Drosophila melanogaster: one gene and its partners. The protein of the gene in region 2 interacts with the protein of the main gene of each other region in a pairwise test. Each region holds a gene or a part of one and is shown on either strand. Other genes may lie near its edges. The genes, in order: heca, CG6023 and CG34453.

Evidence for each region.
Region 1: the proteins of CG6023 (region 2) and heca interact in a two-hybrid assay, tested with the Drosophila melanogaster proteins (one large-scale study listed by BioGRID).
Region 3: the proteins of CG6023 (region 2) and CG34453 interact in a two-hybrid assay, tested with the Drosophila melanogaster proteins (one large-scale study listed by BioGRID).

The regions. Positions count from the first base shown.
Region 1 is NT_033777.3:30,275,657-30,280,253, reverse strand, and holds the start of heca (headcase), read right to left. Parts: upstream 2,323-4,597; 5' UTR 1,311-2,322; coding exon 7-1,310; intron 1-6. UniProt on the Drosophila melanogaster protein: Required for imaginal cell differentiation, may be involved in hormonal responsiveness during metamorphosis. Involved in an inhibitory signaling mechanism to determine the number of cells that will form unicellular sprouts in the trachea.
Region 2 is NC_004354.4:18,313,426-18,318,022, forward strand, and holds CG6023 (uncharacterized protein), read right to left. Parts: upstream 2,477-4,597; 5' UTR 2,308-2,476; coding exon 2,157-2,307; intron 1,912-2,156; coding exon 1,592-1,911; intron 1,512-1,591; coding exon 1,065-1,511; 3' UTR 699-1,064; downstream 1-698.
Region 3 is NT_037436.4:231,404-235,734, reverse strand, and holds CG34453 (uncharacterized protein), read left to right. Parts: upstream 1-2,383; coding exon 2,384-2,412; intron 2,413-2,470; coding exon 2,471-2,610; intron 2,611-2,662; coding exon 2,663-2,887; intron 2,888-2,944; coding exon 2,945-3,078; 3' UTR 3,079-3,255; downstream 3,256-4,331. Other genes in the region: E(bx) (enhancer of bithorax), read left to right, coding at 1-156, 221-325, 390-753, 1,083-1,167, 1,231-1,436; CG34454 (uncharacterized protein), read left to right, coding at 3,433-3,775, 3,843-3,901; CG42846 (uncharacterized protein), read left to right, coding at 4,146-4,179, 4,250-4,331.

The DNA of each region.
Region 1 (4,597 bases), on a different chromosome or scaffold from region 2:
ACTTACCGCACTCGATCGGAATAGAGTTCGACCTCCTTGTTCTTCTGCTGCTGCACAAGTTGCTGCTGCTCGTAGCTGGCCAATGGCTTGAAGTTGCTGATATTGGCCAAAGCAGGCAGGTTATTCTGCTGCTGCTGTTGTTGTTGCAGCTGCTGCTGCTGCTGCTGCTGGGGAGCAATCAGCAGATTCTTGGACAAGCCCAATCCATTTTGCAAAAGGTTGCTGCCGAAAGCTGGACCCAGAGGCTGGATCAGCAGCGACTGCTGCTGTTGCTGCTGCTGCTGTGGCAGCAATTGCTGCACCGGCGACACGGATATCTCGCCACTGGACTGGGAGTCCGAGGGCGAGGTGGATCCACTGCCAGCTCCACTGGAGGATAGGCTGCCAGCCCTGGCGCGCAGGTCCAGGCCGAGGACATTGTTCGTATTGAGGATGTTGCTGAAAGTGGCCAGCGCACTGGTCTGCAGAACGCCGGAGGAGCCGTTGTTGCCACTGCTGCCATTGCTGGCGGTGTTGCCGTTGTTGTGGGGCAAACCCGACCCTATGACGCCCACATTGGGATTGGGCGTGAGTCCGGCGTAGCTGTTGCCGTTGTTGTTGCTCAAGGGGGTTTTGGTGTTGCCATTGACACCAGCACCACCACCACCGCCGCCGCCGTTGTTGTTGTTGTTGTTGCGGTTCCTCTTCTTCTTGGCCTTCTTCTTGTCGTCGTCCTCGCTGAGGCTGCCATTGGCCAGAGTGGGCCGGTTGCCAGACCCGTTGAGGTATATGACGCCCTGGCTGCTCGGCGGCACCCAGTCGAGGTCCTTGCGCAATTGTCCCCTGCCGCACTTGCAGCTGCAGGCCTTCTGGACCAGCTCGTAGCCCTTCTTGGTCCACAGGTGCTGCAGACGCTGCCGCTCCGACCAGGATCGAGCACGACCGTTGGCCTTCAGTGCCTGCAGCACGCTCGCCTCCCACCACTCGAAGCACTCGCGATGCATGTACTGGCCTGCGCTGCAGTTCTCGTTGTTGCACAGCACACGGATGCAGTCCGCCAGGGAGAGCTCGTTCAGGTGTATCAGGGTGTCCAGTTTGCGACAGTCTCCGCTGGGCAGGCAGCAGTGGACCATGCCCCCGCCGCCAACGCCGCCAACGCCACCGGTTCCCTGCATGGGCGCCATTAGGACGCCTGAAGAATTCACGTTCTCCGCGTAGAACTGCAGCAGTTGATGCTGCTGCGTCTGGTGCTGCTGCTGCAACTGTTGCTGGTGCTGCTGCTGGGTGCTGTTGCCGCTGCTGCTGATGTTGCTGTTGCGACGCGGAGCCATAAATTTGTGTTTTTTCCTCTTAATATGCACTCGTTGCGGCGAAAAACTTGGTTGGTTGGCTGGGTTGGCTGTCCTCGAGAATCCTCAATCTCTATTTCGAATCAGCATTTTGCCAACGATTATGAATTTCAAAATATTGCTTGTTGATTTTTTCGCGATTTTATGGTGCGATTTGCGGTCTATATAAATGCTGCTGGCATATATTTATTTATTTTTGAACCGATTCCAGAATATATTTCAACTGATGGTTTTGGCAGATCCAGTGAGTTTTCGTGAATTTTAGTGGGTTTTTGTAAATTTTTAGAAATTTTGCAGACAAAAGTCTGATTTTATACGGAATTTAATTTTTTTGTGTATAGTAAATGCTTGTTATTTTAGCGATTTAGTCTGTTTAGGTTTTAACTTTTCGGTTGCCTTTTTCAATTGTTTTCAGTTGGATTTTCCGAGTGGGTTTCTACCGAGATTGGTATTATTTTTAACTTGATGGGTAATTGCTTTCACTTATTGCTTTAAAAATTGTACACCTCCTTGCTGTGTGTATCAAAAATACTTCGAAAAATTCCCGTCAATGCAGTCTGTTGTGTTTTGCGTAATTTTCTGTTTTGTTGTTGTACCTGAGCTGAGTTTATTGTTGTTGTAGAACTTTAAGTATCAAAAATTGTTTTTTTTTTATTGTTTATCTTCGCTTCGTCCCTATCTCCCTCTCACACGATCGTTCGCTCTCATTCACACACGCGGCGCCATGTTCGGCAATTTTTCACATTTTGCTTCGCTTTCTGCGTTTATTTCTTTGCGCCTCTTATTTTTTTGCCGGCAAACAAAAAGGATTAGAGGATAGTGTAAATTTCCGATTGGTTTTTAGTCGCAGGACAATTGTAAACTGGAGTGTTCCTCTTCGATTTATTCGGTTTTGCTAGTTCTCCTGTTTTCCGTTTTTTCCCACCACGAGCGGCGCACGCAGAGAGAAGCCAAAAAACACAACCAACCAGATCGAAAGCGAAATTCAAACTGTTTTTGGTCTGTGCTTGCTCGCCGCGTTCGAACATCGCGCGTCGAACATCGCTGCCGGCGTCGCTGCTTGGCATTGGCAGCGAAGTTGGAGTTTTCCTCCACTCCGATTTTCCGCACTTCTTCATTCCGTTTTTCGGGGTTGGTGGGTGGTGGTTGGCTGGTTTTCACTTTCCACCACCGCCGCCAACCGCTCGCTTTTCATTCGGTGGAAAACTGAACAGATTTTTGGCGCTAAAATGAGAAATGGTGGGGGAAAATTGCGGAAGGGGCTACAAAAAAAGTGTCTAATTCACTAGAATTTTCCACTGTAGGCCAGAATTTGGTACATTTTCCCACTTTACAACGGAACTTTTGATAGCAGTTACATACTTGATTAGATTAAATGTCTTAAAAATATATGTAGGAGTTTAGACTTTTGTTAATAAGCTTCATTTCCATAGAAAATGTTTCTATCAAGCCGTATTTTCTTTAAACTAATAAGAATAATAATAACATGTTTCTAACTTTATAGCCAAAAAGGAATATATATTTCTCCCTATGTTTTGGTTCCAAAATTAAATGAATTCGATTATTATTAAATAATCTAAATTTAATTATTTATTAGAATTTTTAGATTTTACATCCATTTCATTTACAATTAGGAGCTCTCGATGATTCGCCAAAATTCACTTTCGTTGCGGCTCGAAGCTGGTTCGAATCAAGTTCGAAGCCGGTCGTTTCCCCTCCAACATGTTCGACTGCAGTTGCCATGCGAACGTCGAGCGCGTTGGCTCTGTTCCACATGCATGGAGCGTGCATATGTGTTTGTGCCAGAAACCGGCAAAGTAAACAACATGAAAACAGGGTTGCCGAGTCGCTGGAACTCGAACTTGCAGCGCACTTTTGCTTTCCGTGGCTAATCTTTTAATTCCAGTGGAAGTGGAAATGCCGTTCGATGTCTCCATCTCCCTCTGTCGGAACTGCCGTTCTCTGTCGCACGCTTCGATTGCTGTTATATATTTACATACAAACGTATCTATATAATCCCCTATATATTCGCAAGCACATTTGCACAAAAATACAAATACAATGAATGCATGCGAGTGCTGGCAATAAAAGTGGCAGAGACAAAAAGGAAGAGAATTAAAACATTGAACGAAAAAGAGTTGAAGATACCCTACCTTGAATTAAAACAACCAATTAAAACTTGAATACGCAGACCTATTACTGCTTTCAATTGAAACAAGTATGTACATATGTATGAATAATTGTAATAGTTAAATTGTTGATATTAGTCCTAAGATTACGAATATCGCAGGTAACTTTTGTATTATGACTACTTATTTGTGTTTTGACTGTAGGGTATTAAAGTTGCCACCAAAACCCAAATAAGCTTTCAAACGTAGAGCCTTTTTATTGTATCCTCGCCTTTGTGTATATATGTACATACACACATATAAAAATTCCCGCTGTGTTGCAAAAAAAAAAAGTATGCGAAAACGAATAAGAAGAAGCGGTAGAAATGGCAAAAAACAGGCACGTGTAGAACGAAAAGTGGTAAAGGGAAGGGATCTCGCAACCAGATGGGGTTTTCTTATAGGACTCAGGATCTCAGGATCCGGGGTTCTATTCTTTTGGTAACTGCGGTGCAAAGTCAAGGTCCAATTCCACTTATTTTCGAGTCAAACTGCGCAGTTTCCATTTTTTTCTCTCGATTTTGACCTGCCGGGTAGAAGAAGAGCGAGCAGGAGGGAGAGAACCAGAGGGTTCTGATATAATAATTAAGTCAGTCAGGTAGGCAGATCGGCAGCCATTGCGTAATAGGATCGTACGTACGAGTATATTTAGGTATGCATGTATGTAATTATGTATGTATAGGTTGTTTGTTGTTCTAGCTAAAGGATCGTCGGTGGAGAGGGTAAAAGAACAAAGGAGGGGCGAACTAGTTTGTTGTTGTTGTCATCGCCGCTTTATAATTCTCAAGGATTTCGCTTTGTGTTCTCTTCGACTCTGACCTAATTTTAATGACCAATGCATAACGAAAAAATAATAATAATAAGAAGAAGAAGATGGCATGTGTTCAAAGCGAAAAGGGAGAAGAGAAGAGGAGAGAGTCTGAAGCCGCGGGCAAAAGCTGAGCTCATAATTCTTCGGCGACACGCATCAAGTTTAATTTGCATAATTAATGGCAATGCAGGACTGCAACCCTGGGGGCCGAAAAAAGAGTTGCCAGGTCGTTAAGTTATGTTTTTAAATTAGGAATTAGGTATGAACCTATGTATGAAATGAAATGAAAT
Region 2 (4,597 bases):
CATAAAACATTTCCGATAAGCCGCCACTGGGGAGATATCACACTTTTTTACCGTGTACAAACTGCTTTGTCACATGCAGAGATCACACGACGATTGCCCGACATTTTGCCTAATGGTCCATGAGTCACAGCCAGACGGCTGTACGGTACTTGGGGTTTTCTTAACAGCCGCGCTGTGGAAAACCTCGAACCGATATATATGTATGTACATACATCTATCTATGTATCTATCTATCTATCGGAACGTGCCCCGGGCACGAGCTATAAACGACAATGGGGTGGGTCAGGGCAGGTGACGAGTCGGGCCAAAAACGGAATCTCGCGCATACTTCCCCAGTATTTCCGATTTGGGGGAGTGGTAATTGGGTTGCCAACTTCAAGCATTGGAGGTCATAAACCCGCGAGTCCCCAAAAAAAAAACAGTGAAAAATCAAAAAACCCTAAGTATTAAGCGATTTACTTAGCTAGCTATGCAATTGAGAATTATACTTTGAACTCTACCTTTGATTTGTTCCATTTCCACTTGTTTCAATTCATGGAAACATCTTATGACCACCCATGCTTTAATCGATGTTGTAGACCTTCGAAAGGTTGGCAGAATTCCCACCGTTGACTAAGCCCCCAATTCGTTGTAACTTAATTTCATCTGAATGATGAAATTGGTCAACCAGAAAAGAAAAGCACTTCACGTATGCGCCTATCGGTATAATTTATTAATAGTCATTGTAATATTGTAAATATATATAAAAAAAATACACTTAAGTAATAGTTTTCATAAGTTATCGAGCCTGCGATGCGGTGAATGTGTTCAGTGAGTATGGTGGTACGCGTATGTATATAAATAGGATGCAAAGGCGATATAAATACGTATGAGGGCAATGGGGATTTAATAAGTTATAATAAATAATAGGGTCTAAGGCAGATGAGGGTGTCTAGTAGACGAATACGGATCTGGATACTCGTGGGCATAGCCTATTAGCTTGAGATTGCAGTGGGTCATCGGAGGCGATTATTTTTGGTATGGCTTTTACTGCTCCTCTGGAGCGTCCAACTCTGTCCAGCGGATTACTGATACAGCTTGATCAGCTGCTCGTACTTGTGCTCGATGATGGTCAGCACCTTGATGGTCTCCACGGCGGCGCCAAACATCGGCCATATGTGATCGGCATTGTACTCGGCGTTCCTCGGATTGCAGGCATCGTTGAGACCGGCGACCTTGAGAGCCTCGTGCATGTTGTGATGGAAGAAATGCACGAAGTTATTGAAGTAGCAGTTCCAGGACTGGTGATCGAACACAATGATCTCGTATAGATGCTCCAGGACCAGCAGGGACTCGATAATGGCCGGCATCTCCTCCTGCAGCGTTGTCACCTTGCCACTGTACACAAAGTCACCCAGCTGGTTCTGGAACTTAACTTCCTTGACCTCCGACTGGAGCGGATGCTTCAATGCCAGGGAATGCAGAGAGTAGGAGTGAAGATCTTGGGGCAGGGTGTGGTTTTGATTCCTCAGCTGTTTCGCAATGAAAAAAAATGGGAAATGGGAAACTTAGTGCCTCTGCTGCCGCAAGTCCATCGTTCTAGCTAACTTACCCATTCTTTGGTCAGACAGAGGACCGCCTCCCGCGTATTCTTGGCCACCTCGAGCGCCACTTGCAGGTGTTCGATATTGGGAGTCATTTTAAGGTCCGTGCACTGCTCCCTGCCTTCAGTCTGATTGGTTAACAGGGGCACGATCTTGGTGCTTATTGACCTGGTGTGCTGGTGGTGATGGTGTAGTCGTGCGTGATTGCGGTGCGGCAGAATCAGGCTCAATCCTCGAGCGCGACGCGGTGCGGCAATTGTCCCCGTTGGCCAACTAGTGGCGACTGTGAGTAGCAGCAGGATGCCCAGGAGCCAGCACTTGGAGGTAGCTGCAATGCAAGAAGATGGAAGGTCAGTAAATAGGATTCATACAAAGATGTTCAAAAGATCTCCCTAATCCTGATGGATGCCCAGGCTTGGCCAATAAGATAATGATGATTGAAAACTTCAATGCCCAAGATCCCTATCATTTGATGAGCACTTTCCTGTTTGCCCAGCGATGACACAGTTATAGATACAAAGATACAGATAGAGCGACATGATTCAGAGGCGCTAGATCTTAATGCACACTTACAAATGCGACCGATGATGTTGGATTGCTGCTGGCAGGACGCTTTTGTCGCCGCCGGAGCACTCTGCTCCTGCTCCTGCTGCTGCTGCTGCTGCTGTAGTCGCTCCAAGAATTGGAGCTCGAAGGATTCACTGGCACTGCTGTTGGCGGTCATATTTTGATTTGATTTGTGATGTTAGGCACACACGGTTCGGAGAGTATGTCTTATTGGTTTTCGATATTTGGCCAAGATTCAGATTGAAAGCGCGCTAAAGAGCTGGATAGCTGGATAGCTGGAGAGCTGGGGCTGGCGTGCGGGCTCTGCGAGATCTTACGGTTAATGAGGAGTTGGGGCACACGCCGGCGATTTAAATACAAACCGGACCGCCATCCGGCGATATCAGTAGCCGAAGCCGCACGAGCGGCGCAGCGCGTGGCCGAGCTTACTTTTTTTACGCACACACACACATACACGCGCGCGGGCGGCGGGTACTCACACTTGTTGTGCTCGTTGTAGCGACAAGTGAACAACAACAACAGCAAGCAGCAAGAGCAGCAATAGCAGCAACCACAGCAGCAGCAACGGCAGCATCAGCGGCCGATGGTCGATGACGATAATGAATCAAAAAAACAACGGCCCGCAAAGGGAGTTCGAATTTGGGTTTTCTCAATTATCGGAGGTGGGGGTGAGTGGGTGAGTGGGTGGGTTGGCTTGGCTTGGCTTGGATGGGCTTCCTGACTCAGCCGGGGATTAGCTACTCCCTGGTCAGTAGTTCATGCCGCTGTTGCAGCGCTGCACATGACGTTTTGTTTTCTTCCTGTCTTGCGGCAAATGAGTTGCCAACCGTTGTAATTTATGCACACACGCTTCATGGCCCAAAACGGATGTCGCATTGCATTCTTGCACCCTACACCAAGTAATCGGGCATCTTGGTTGCCAACTGGCATTAGGCTGACCTTACAATCGCAACATTGAATCCTTATTTAAATTGCCTGCCTGGAGGACGACGACTGCAAACATTTTAGTTTAGCTCTGTCTATGAGTGGCTTTTAGTCACTGTTTAACGACACATGCCAATTGCTCTGTTTGTTAGCTGATTAATACATGTTTGATAGATTCTTGGAATTTGTTTGGTATACATATTCCAAACTCAGTGTTCAAGCTAACAGAGTAACACCCAAAGCAAAAAGCTCGAGGCAACATTTTGACAACAAACACATTTTTTATGGGGAATTTCACTGTTCTTGTACGAAATTTGATAAGCCTGATGCCTGAATACTGAGCTTTCCGGAAATTGTAATGGCTATATGTAAATTCAACATTGGTCTCAATGCCCATCAGGCTGAATTAGCCAAAGTGGAATCGCGTTTACTTTGATTAATTTGCGAATATCTCGTGTCTCTTAGCTGCTGTGGCGGCGGCGTCACTTCGGATTCTTCAGTTACTCGATTTACTGTATTTACTTTAACTAAGTGGCGATTTATGATGCGGGTGCCACTTGCCTGGCAAATGACGCGTCGTTCCGTAGGCATTTCCGATCGATCGCTTGGCACGTGCGCGTTTTGCATGCAACTGACTGGCAATAGCCACTTGGCCGCTGGCCGCTGGCCGCTGGTCGCTGGACTTGGCCAATTGATCGAGCACTGGGTATAAGAGACACCGGCAACCGGCAGACAGAGTGTCTGTCTCTTCTATGGCCAGTGCACAGTAGTGCACAGTGCATCGAGCAAGCACATAACCTAGCCCAACATGGCACTCACACTTTGACATAGCAATTACTCATAAAGACGCACGTAGTTCAACCCACTCATGGGACACAAAGCTCATGGGAGTCGTATTCCCTTGTCGAGTTTTCTGCGTAGTATTTCATCAGTTGGGCAAATTTTTCGAGCTTTGTTTTTACCCAATTGCTCTGGGCAGATCCATAATTGCCAACTTTTCCGGAATTCGAGCTGGAGGCCATGTCCAAGGGTTTTCCAATGCAGTTTGCCCGCTGTCAGTCCAGAATTGCATTTGTTCAGCGCTAGATGGGTGCCTTCTCCTTTTGATTCGATATGTATTGATTTCCTCCTCTTTATTATTATTATAATTTATTTTTTTTTTTTTTTGCGCCCATCCAGGCATTGTTGACTGTTAATTATCGCACTCGAGGAGGTGCTAACTTTGGCCACGCACTAATCTCGGCCTGAACTCGCTAAACTTGCAACGTCATCCGGTTTGAGGGAGATCCGCTATCTATCGCTCGTTCCTGTTTGCCATTCCCTTTTTAGAAATGACCATTCCATTGATGAGCTCTTCCAGAGTGACGTACGACAGTACTTAGTACTCAGCGTAGTAAAAAGCTGCAAACATCCCACACTTACAGCGACGGAAATATCGCTCAGACTTATCGCCTCAGCCAGGCATATAATATTTAAATTTAGCAAATATACCACCAAGATGCACGTGTAAGTTCATTGTGTAA
Region 3 (4,331 bases), on a different chromosome or scaffold from region 2:
GCGCAAGCGTTCCTTATTAGAGCGTAATTTACAAAGCGAAATACACGAAGATGTAAAAACTAAAGTCCAAAGACATGTACGCCCCTTAAGTAACGCTTCACCGGATGAACAAAGCGAAAATGAGAGAAGTGGCGAACCAAATTTAGATTTTAAACGGTACGTATACTCATGCACTTGTGTGCAATATGATATATCTAATAATACCTAAATCAAATCGTAGGACAGAGGTGCAGAACCCCAGACATGGCGCAGGCCGACCAAAAAAGTTGACAAGAAAAAAGGAAAAGTTGTATTGCATTTGCCGTACTCCATATGATGACACAAAGTAATGCAGAAATGCATATTCTTAACGCGCTTTTAATTAATATATTGTAATTGTGTCTATGTAGGTTTTACGTGGGGTGCGACTTGTGCAGCAATTGGTTCCATGGGGATTGTGTCAGTATTACCGAGGAAGCTTCTAAAAAACTATCGGAGTTCATTTGCATTGATTGCAAGAGGGCGAGAGAAACGCAACAGCTTTACTGTAGCTGTCGTCAACCATACGACGAGTCACAATTTTATATATGCTGTGATAAATGCCAGGATTGGTTTCATGGCCGTTGCGTTGGAATACTTCAGAGCGAAGCAGAGTTTATTGATGAATATGTTTGCCCTGAATGCCAACGCAAAAACGATGCTAACGCTGCAAATATGAAGAAACTGACTTCAAATGACGTTGAAGAGCTGAAAAACTTAATTAAGCAGATGCAGGTAATAACCTGAAATTCATAATAATTTTTATTTATTATTAGGGACCTTAATTAAATAAAATTTAATTTTGTGGGAATCGTTATTCTGTGTTAGATAAACGAACAAATCGTTTATATATTGATGGCATCAAACATGTTAAAATACGGTAATGTTTGTAAAATTGTTGAAAAAATATTACAAAGTAACGAACAGAACGAAAGTATTATAAGTTCAAGACCAAGTGAATCAAATATCCAATTCGTTCATTCGTTTCACATTCATTTCTGGCTAACGAAAAACTCTCAACTGTAGCACATCAAAAATGGAATAAATATTAAATTTCCCTACAGTTACACAAAAGTGCTTGGCCATTTATGGAACCGGTTGATCCGAAGGAAGCACCCGATTATTACAAAGTGATTAAAGAGCCAATGGGTATGTAACACAAAAAATAAATTTATTCGAAAATAAATAAAATGGGGATATTTTTTTCTATAGATCTCAAACGGATGGAAATTAAACTCGAATCAAACACCTATACCAAACTATCTGAGTTTATAGGCGATATGACAAAAATTTTTGACAACTGCCGTTACTATAACCCAAAAGAATCATCCTTTTATAAGTGTGCTGAAGCACTAGAGTCATACTTTGTGCAAAAAATTAAAAATTTTCGCGAAAATGTTTTTGACCAAAGAACATAAGAAATAATAGCCCTTGAAAACTTTAGAACAAATGATTATAGTTTATAAAGACACTTCTAACAATTTGAAAAACGTCCTTCAGTTATGTATTCTTATTTTGAATCAAATGTTATATAAACATATATTATCAATAAAAACACATATAATTAATTATAATAAATTATGTACATATTGACCATATTTAGTAACGTACACCAGTATGCAATAAATTTCATATTCACCAGACATTTGTAAGATTAAAAATAATTAAGTAAAACCCCCTTTGTACAAAACATTAAAGTGTAAATAAACAGCATGCATTTCATTTGATATCCTTATCATATGCTGTAGGTTTAAACTTAGGCGTATGTAACTTGTAAAAATACAAGCTTATAATAAATGTTCAGCATATTTTGAAAATAACTTGCATTTATTTAGTCTTTGGTTTGTTTACTGCTCATTGGACTTTTAAATTCACACCTACTCAGCAAAAACAAAAATATACCTTAAATAGCTTATTAATATTATTAGACGGATTCTTTGCACTAAAATAACAACAAAATCCTCATTTGTTGATCTGCATTGAAATTTTTGTAGGCCCTTGCATAGGGTATATTTTGTAACAGTCCGAAATTTGCTTCGCAATGAAGGTACCCTTTATGATCACAAACTATATTCCTATATTCTTGATCAATATCAGCAGACGATGCGACATAACAAAGCCCGTCCGTCAGTTTCTACGCAATCCAGTCTCTCAGTTTTAAAGCAGTTATACATGGAACTTTCCCAAAAGTCTTCTTTCGGTTGCAAATGTCACTATATAACGTAGTCGTTACTAGACTGTCCAGAAGTTGTTTATTCTACGAGTAATGGGTATAAAAATACTAATTAACTGGTTGCCATGGCGAGCGTGCGCAGAAAACGGGTTTATTAAACAAAATTATTGACTAGTTAAACATAATAAAACGATGGAACCTGCTAAAGTGATTGGAAAGCTGTAAGAGTTCAGCACATCTTATTAAAATATGAATAGCAGATATTATTAACAATTTTAGAAAGGAGCAAGTGCGCATGGAGCACAATTCGCGTCGTAGTTTTCCAAAAGCTTGGAGCGAAATTTCGGGCAAGCAAACTAACAAGTTCTACCACCAATCTGAGATTAATTCTCAACTAAGTAACCAGCTAAAATTAAAAGGTATATTTACATAGAGGTTTATAATTGTGCACTCACATACTCTACCCTATAGACCTGTGCCCTTTTGTGCACAACAACCAAGGCGAATCGCGATTCGTATCTCCGGAGATGTACAAACCTTTACTGGCCGTCTGTCGCTGTGGGCGAACTAAGGAAAGCATCCATATGGGAAAATGCTTACAAAGAGCCTTGAGTCCAGATTACAAGCAAGAAATGGTACAGAATGGCACTGATGCATGGAGTGCAGAACCATTTAATGTGCCTTCCACTTCAAGCTGTAAGTAGTGCACCTACATTTAATTGTATGGGTACAACAATATAAAGAGATTTTCAGCTACCATTGGCTTCGCAGCTATTTCGAAAAACTACCAAAAGCTGGAGCGTTCTATGCAATATGTTTCTCCTGCGTTTTCCATGCCTGGCCCTCGAATTACAGCAGTCCCTTACTATAATATTATTATTGGATAAGTCATCACGAATTTTAAAGTTTCTTGTTGGTCATTTCCAACCCATATTTTTGATGAATCAAATCTGGGATTTCCCTAGATTATTGCAAATATAAGCACATGATAATAAACTTAAAATTGATAGCGGGCATCGTACAGAACTGGATTTTCCAGACGATTGACTGCTTTAGAAACCTGTATTCAGTGGCGTTCCCATATCTTATTTACTACTTTGTATTTTGATTCACTGAATTAAAACTTTCCAGTATATGTGAAGTTCCTTATGCTTAGTGCAGCTGATTCTTGTGTTGGTTCAGTTTCCCTCGATCAGCGAACGAAAGCACATACGACTATAAGCTTCAGGATTCAGTTAAAGATGTGCATCAATTGGCATCCAATATTTATTTTTGCTTGTTTAAGTCAGTTGGGCGCAGCCCAAGAACCTTTAATTTTCGAAACATCTCGTAGCCCATGGAACAATGCCGCCGCAACGACGTCAATACCAATTTCGCCCACCAGCGCAAACTTAGTTTTGGTTAACAATGTAAGAATACCAGGAGGTCTTACACCATTTGTACCAGCACCGGCCCCAACCAAGGAATTTCTGAACTGCTTTGGTAACTGTCCCACCACATCGCAATACAATCCCATTTGCGGCAGCAATATGCAGCTTTATATGAACGAGGAAAAATTTAATTGTGCTCGTTTCTGTGGAGCTGGTGAGTCCATTATATCCATTATATTATTATTTTTTAATCGAAAATATACTTCACTATTCGTTTTTAGACATTCAAATAGTTCGAAGAGGTTCTTGTGAGGGTCTTTTTGCGATGACGCGAGGTTGATATGCAACAACCAGCTATTTAATGTAATAGATTAATATACTCCAACTAAGATATTTTCAGTTTAAATATTATTATGGCACAGAGATAAGACGCCACGCAGTACATAACAACGCAAAATAATATAAATAAAATAAATACATACTAATGCAAAACAATCAAGATAACCTTGACGCACTTGTAGAAAATTTCGAAATGGATTCCCAAGACAGTTCCGTTCTGAATTTCAGAGAGAATACTTGCAAACATGGAGGCGATTTATCAATTGGTCGTAATCTTAGGTACATTATATACATAAATATATTTTATTCTGTGTGAAAGCTCCTTCTAAAATATCCGTTTTCTACTCAGCTATTATTTTTGGGCATCTGCAGTTCCAGTCCACGGTGTTAGCTGACCCTGCTTTTCGTCGCCCAAATGCCATCGCGCCCGC